Xenopus tropicalis: one gene and its partner. The protein of the gene in region 1 interacts with the protein of each later gene in a biochemical or structural test. Links are inferred from orthologs where the notes say so. Each region holds a gene or a part of one and is shown in the gene's direction. Other genes may lie near its edges.

What was found. The genes of interacting proteins can lie anywhere in the genome.
Region 2: the proteins of snta1 (region 1) and gda interact in a test that uses a peptide from one of them, tested with the Homo sapiens proteins (2 studies listed by BioGRID and IntAct). The link is inferred for Xenopus tropicalis from reciprocal best matches to the Homo sapiens genes SNTA1 and GDA.

The regions. Positions count from the first base shown.
Region 1 is NC_030686.2:41,886,548-41,890,280, forward strand, and holds the end of snta1 (alpha-1-syntrophin), read left to right. Parts: intron 1-613; coding exon 614-801; intron 802-2,302; coding exon 2,303-2,395; 3' UTR 2,396-3,180; downstream 3,181-3,733. UniProt on the Homo sapiens protein: Adapter protein that binds to and probably organizes the subcellular localization of a variety of membrane proteins. May link various receptors to the actin cytoskeleton and the extracellular matrix via the dystrophin glycoprotein complex.
Region 2 is NC_030677.2:130,514,117-130,517,703, forward strand, and holds the end of gda (guanine deaminase), read left to right. Parts: coding exon 1-147; intron 148-443; coding exon 444-562; intron 563-1,567; coding exon 1,568-1,595; intron 1,596-2,810; coding exon 2,811-2,881; 3' UTR 2,882-3,063; downstream 3,064-3,587. UniProt on the Homo sapiens protein: Catalyzes the hydrolytic deamination of guanine, producing xanthine and ammonia.

The DNA.
Region 1 (3,733 bases):
GGTTTGTATTATATTAATCCTAAGGCCAGGATTGGACTAGGGGGGTGCAGGGCAAACTGGGGCTTCTGCCTCAGTGGCCCCTACACCGCCCCAATGGTCCCTGCCACCTTCACCCCTGCCGAGGCCCCCAACACCCTCCGACCCCCTCCCCTGAGCACTTCTAAAAGAAACTTTCCTGCGGCGCGTCGGGGGAGGGAGACTGTGGATCGCGGGAGTGCCCTGGGGGGGATCGGATCTGGGCCGCCGGGGCCCACTAGGGCCAGGGCCCACCGGGTTTTTTCAGTCTGACTGCCTAAGGCTGATGGCACACACAACAGCCCCTTCTGACAGCTCATACATGTTCTAGGGAGTATTTTTCAGACTGAAAAGCTGTATGTTGTTGTTTCATAGCCCTAGGCCCCCAGCATAAAAAAAAAAAACTAAATATCGCCCCCTTCCTTTACACAATGCTCACACGTAGTGGCCAACATCCCTTTATTATCCTGTCTGTGGTACTTACTGGCCTTTACTGAGCAGTTGTGGGGTCTGCTCACCCAAATATATTTTATATATATATGTTATATGATGGAGAAGTTATTTCCTGCCTAAACACACATCTCTTCTCTCCCTGCAGCATGTACATGGGGTGGGAACGAGTGTGCCCTGTCTATACACATTGATCAAGGTTTCACTCTCTTCACGGAGGAACCCGGCCTTAACAAGGTGATACACTTCCACCAGCCATTCGAGAAGCTCCGTATGTCGTCTGATGATGGTGTCAGAATTCTCTATCTGGAATTCGGCAACCCCGAGGCAGAACTTGTAAGTACTCAATGGTCTTCGGTATGAAAATGTAACTCTACCCGTCACTATTCATTATTCTCTTTCAGGGCCAGCATTATCAATCGTGGGGCCATTTTGGTGGGGCCCCCAAGACATGTTACCTGTGGGGGCCTGGGGTAGTTTAGTGAATCTGCCCTGCCCACAGCAAGTAGTTCATATCAATCACAGGCAAATGATTGTCTGATAGCTTCGCTTTAAGGACACCTGTTCCACACCTAAGGTACGGACTGATAAAGCCCACTCTCTGGTTGGGGGAAACAATACTATTCTCTCCATACAATGCTTGTAACTAGCTCTTTGTCATCCATGTTGGAAAGGAGCTCCCAGTGTGGGCAGCCATGTTTGGGCTTCATCTGCTTACACACAATGAGCTCATTATGTACATGTGTGTCTCCTACCCATTGTAGGTGGCATAGTGGGCATAATAGTACTGTTTCCACCAACCAGAGCACGGGGTCTATTGGGCTGCACCTTCAGTAGGGCAAGTAAATTTCCTAAGATAGATGTCCCTTAATAGTGGTACTCCTAGATGCCCTTTTAATGGATTGTTGAACTTGGTCTTCATTTTTTAATTATTTGTAGTTTTTTAACCTGAATAGAAAGATAAGCAATAATAAAATGACAATAACAATAAAATTATTGCTTTTAGAGCAATAGTTTATAGGCTGTCTGGGTCAGTGACCCCATTGGAAGCTTGAAAGGGTCAGAAAGAGAAGGTAAATAATTCCAAAACTATAAAAAAAACAAATAATGAAGACCAATTGAAAAGTTCCTAAGAATTGGTCATTCTATAATATACTAAAAAGTTATATTGAAGGTGAACAACCCCTATAACTGTCAGGCCAGTAACAACTGCTGCCAGGCCCAGATTTGTGGCAAGGCCCGGGCCTAGGGAGGCATAAATTTAGGGATGGCATACTGCCCAGCCGCACTGAGGTGCTCCATATGTGAGCTCAAAGGATGCGAATGATTCTAAGGGGGGGGGCGGAGAATGGGGACGGCCTCTGGGCGCCCTAAACAGAAATCCAGCACTGACTGCTGCCCAACCACGGCTTGGAGGGAGAGCTATTTTGTGGAAATGGGGTCCCACAAGGGGGAGCTGGCATAGACCTCTGGCAGATGACAAGTAATTCTAAATGCCAGCAATTCACCAAAATACACAACTGTGACCTGTGTCCATTAGGGGCCCAACATGGAAGGTCAGCCTAGGATTGCAAGGTTTTTTCTAATATCTTTTAGCCAGCTTTGAAGTGGGCAGTACTAGGTCCCACCCGCAACCCCGATATGGACTGTGGCCTAATGCATGGAGTGCTACTCCATAAGTAAGGTGGCACTGTAGTTAGCATTGCAGCATGGCCTTGATATATATACTCCCTGTGTCTGTGTGGGTTTCCTCCCTCATGTCAAACACATACAGACCACATTCATGCATATGGCTTCCAGAATCTATTTACTAACTGACACTTCTACTCTTTTCTAGCAACTCGACCTGCACTCCTGTCCAAAAACCATTGTCTTCATCATTCACTCCTTCCTGTCGGCCAAAGTGTCCCGACTGGGCCTATTCACCTAGAACGCTGAAAGTGGCGGCAATCTTGGACCTCACGGCCGAGCGCTAACCAAAACCAACCCTAGGGGGTGCTGGAGAGTTAGTCCAAAGTGGACAGCTTTCCAAAATGTCACACAAATAATATTTGTATTTACACACCATAAATGGCCAGAATTAACCACTTCTATTTCACTATGTCTGGATACAGTTAATGGCAAGGAAATGTGAAGCCTCTCGTCTTTATTCTTTGTAAACTGCCGATTCCCTAACCATGAATTATAGTGCCTTATATATATATATATTTCTTTTTTAAAGGTTTAATGCCATGGCTTCAGGGAGAATCCAGGTCAGTCTCTCTGATATACAGTGGGTTTTTGGGGAAAAACAAAAGTACTGTGCCTTTAAATGCCCAATATCTGCTCCACGCCATGTTGTTATACAGCAGCACAACCGCTCTACAATCAGTTATCAATTTGGTCTAATTGTTTCCCCTTCGGAGCACAGGTTAGGGCGTTTGTATAAATATATTAATATATATTCATAAATGATCATAGAGGCAGATATGTATCTAGTTTTATTAATTATTGAAATTAAGCTACCCGGCACAACTTTTTAAGCTGCATTAGAATAAGGGCATTTGGGGGGGTTTATTCTGGACTTGAACCTATTATTTTACAAAGTATTTAGCGTGTGGATATAGATATATATATATGGGAGGACGTTTCATGATCCTGATTGTTTGGAAAGAAACGGAGGTGTTTACTTGCCCTTTGGAGGTGTACAATAAACAATAAAGTGTCTGAGCAAAAGTTCTTTTTGTAACGATATATATTCATATGGGATGAATCACAACCATGTGTGTATATAGATATATATACATATATATATAATTACATTGCAGAGGTGTCAAGTTCAGCCTTTTATGGTTGAGCAGTGGAAGGAAGGCCCCTGTCCTAGTAATAGAGGCAGCTTTTTGTCGGCCACTCACTGCTTTCTGGCAGGAGCAGCCCTGATTGGGTCATGCCCAACCACTCTGTTGCCTAATTTAACTGCAAACAGAACTGGCCCAAGTCCTATTGGCACCAAAGGCAATACTACTTGGCCCGGTGCCCTGCTTGACCATCTGTTCCCCCACATTGTTCAATGGCTCCCCACCGCCCCCTGCTGGATTCACATGGTACCTCCCTCACAGCTTGGTTCAGACAGTTCTCTTCCATCTTCACCCTTCCTGTTGCACTGTTTTCCCGCCTCTAGTTCCAGCATTGGGCTGTAAGTGTCCAGCAGTGGGCTGGGGGTGTTTATAAAAAAAAAAGTGCATTTGTTTTTATATAAAACTGTATTGTGCTGTGCATACACCTGAGG
Region 2 (3,587 bases), on another chromosome or scaffold:
AAGAAAGCAAGACAATACACAATCACCTCCAAGAGGAGAATGGCATGCTACCAGAGAAAGAATGCAACTGCAGAATAAAAAACAATGGAAAAAAAGTATTAAGTGATCAGGAAGCATTCCGACTTGCAACCCTTGGAGGAAGTCAAGGTAGTTAAACATCTGTTCATTAACCACCACTGAGGTTTTTGAGTTTATGTGGAACATAAGAGAAAAAGGCTAAAATATGTATGGACCCATATGTATATGGGTGTCTAGCACAGACTCTACTTTTGTATGGCAAGATGGCATTGTTCCTCTGGAAAGAATGTTCTGGCAGACAGTCATGTATCTCTCTGTATCAATGTTAATTCAATCTCTCTGTATCTATGAATAAATATCTTCTCATGAGATCTGTTTTTGTACAAAGCAAAATAACTGAATGAATGAGCCTGTTATTCCCACAGCTTTGAATATTGACCACATAACTGGAAACTTTGAAATTAACAAGGAATTTGATGCCTTGCTAATCAGTCCTGAAATCCACAACAGCCCATTTGATGTGTTTTCTCAATTCTCCAAGGAGGTACTTACTATTAATATATATTATTAAATGAATTATCTGCAAATAATATATTATAAAATTGTTGTTTTTATGACATTAAAATCCAGGAGCAAGACTCACAGAGAACTTAATTCCTGCTCCATTTGTCATACTTTAGATTTGCAGAAATAGTTTGCCTGTTATTATGTGAAAAAGCAGCTCAAGTGTGCATGGGGGCCAGCCTGAATTCTTCAGTTTTAGATCTGTAATTAAAGCCTAATGTCCCTTAGTTAATACATGCTTTACCATACCTGAGTTAACAGCCCTAGAAGTGCCTTCTGTTAAAGACAATGGCTGCCATTTAAACTTGGTCTGACTTCACTTTCATGCCTGTATCTCAGTGCTCTGGGCTCAGATCACCGCAGAGAGGGGAGAACAGATCATATATTCAGAATAGAGGGAAAGAAATGTGGTGTTTCTTTTCAATGAGGAGCAGCAGTTCGATAAGAAATTATGGCTGTATTCACATAGACCTTTCTGATAAAGCTTACTTAGTTTTTACCTTTCCTTCTCCTTTAAAAGGAACAGTAATGCCAGGAAATGAAAATCTATTTAAGTAATTAAATATAATGTACTGTTGCCATGTACTGGTAAAAGTTGCATGCTTGCTTAAGAAACCCTACTATAGTTAATATACATAAGCTGCTGTGTAGCCATGGGGGCAGCCACTCAATTTGGAAAAAAGGAGAAAAGGCACAGGTGACATAGTAGATTACAAATAAAACACCATTGTATTCTAAAGGACTTAACTGTTATCTGCTGTGTAACCTGTGCCTTTTCTCCTTTATCCAGTTTGAATGACATAGTAAAGTATCTGGAACAAGCACACCCGTTTTACCAGTGCAGGACAACTGTACATTTTATTTCAATTATTTTAATACACTTTAGTTTTTTGGTGTTACTGATTTATATACTGCATATTAAGTTTGCAGTACAATTATATGAATAGTGATTTAATGATTACATTTCATGTTTATTTTTTTCCAGGACATGGTTCAGAGGTTTTTGTATTTAGGTAAGTATTTTATTAAAATATATTTTCAGGGCATACAGTGAATCCATATTTTGTTATATTTGTCCAAATACTGAATCTTCAACAAAAGAATTGGGTGGCCAGGCCAGGCTTCCTGATTCAGCCACATCCAAATCCTGCTAAAAATGGCTTGGATTTGGCCAAATCCAGGATTCCGTGCATCCCTATTTATTATCAGGGCCGGAACTAGGGGTAGGCAAAAAAGGCACCTAGGGAGCAACGGTGGGGGGCACCAGGCAGGTACCTCTTCTTTTACCTACCTCTTGTTTCGGACCCTTTCCCCCCACTGCAGCGGCCCTGGCAACCCTGCCACCCTGTGTGCATTGTGCGCTCATTTGCGCACGCGAGTGCACACACGGTGGATGGGGGCTGGTTGGGGCAGGGCCAAACTGACCAGGTTGCCTAGGCTGCCGGGTCAGCTTATCCCAGCATTGGTTATTATAACTAACCATTGCTAATAACTGATTGTTTGGTGTGGGTTACTTTTTTCACCTCCTCCCCAGTGATTGTTGACTTTAAGTAGGAACATTTCTTTTGCAACACCCAGACACTACTTTTTGCTTAGTTTTCCAAGAGAGACACAAAACAAGAACCAAAGCAAAACTATGGAATAAAAGTACCATACACATAAATACTAACCTGGTTTCCTTTAGAGCCATGCCTCTTGGCCATAGATGCTCTGCCAGACCCCAGTTCTGCCCAGGCTACTACACCCGGACAGTGCACGGCAAGGAGCACACCATGCGCCAACTGCATTTGATCCATCCAACACTTCTAGTAGCAGCACTTCCTCTCAGATCGTTTGCAAACTCTCTATTGTCCACCAGGCCCTTTACTAGGAATAGCCCATGCTTTCTGCTCCTCTCCATTCAAAATGGTCTCCTGTTGGAGAGGCAAGCCAGCCAACAGAATGCAAGCCTCTGTTGTGACAGGTTACACCAGTGCCTTCAGAAACTTGTCAGTGAGGCATTGCATAACACAGTTCTCGGGCCAGTCAGGTTAAGGTTTACTCAAGGGTGGCACATTGTAAAGATTTTGTTACATCACAACAATAGAAACGGTAAATCTGGACATTTGCCTATTTTTACAATTGAAGCTCCAGTGCTATCTAGCTAAAATATTAAACAAGTTATAGAACTTGTTATAAAAATAAACAATTTCAGTACTTTATATATAGTCTATTTTTTGTTGTTTAAGGTGATGACCGTAACATCAAAGCAGTGTATGTCGCAGGAAGACGCGTGGTACCTTTCCAGAACAATTCATGATTTCACAATACTTATTTTTTAAAGGACCGCATTATAACATATGTTAATTATGTCATAATGTAACATCATGATAATAAATGTATAAGCAATCATGTTAATAATACTACCAATATTACCAACAATCTTTTCTCCCAGAACAAGGCCAACTGAATATCCATTATTAAACTTTACTACTTTACTAATGTTATGAGAAATATTTTTTTAATCTTACTGTATTCAACTAAGCTACACTTTAAAAGCTACATTCTTCATTTTAAACACTAGGGGGCCAATTTATTAACTTTTGATTTTGGGTTTTGCAGTTCCTGATGTGGCCATTTTTCTTATCACTTTTTTTCCCATAAAATAATTGCAAAAAAACACCCAAAAATCTTGACACCAAAAAAACCTACAATCAACAAGAAAAACACAATTTTTGCTGCAAAACGTAGAAAAACTCAGCCTTGAATGGTAATAAAACAGCCCCTGAATGTCAGTTTATCCTTCTGCAAGAAATAAGAGACATGTTCATGTTATAGAGCACTAGCAATAAAGGGAATAACTTATAATACCTGCTATGTTATTTACTCTTGAATTTGCTTTGCCGATAATATATAAATCAATTGCGAGTGGGAAGGACAGCAGCCGCTGAACTTCAAGGGGAATTGCAATCAAGTGAGAGATAAGAAAGCTGCCTGTATCTCAAAACAGGTACAACATTTTTAAC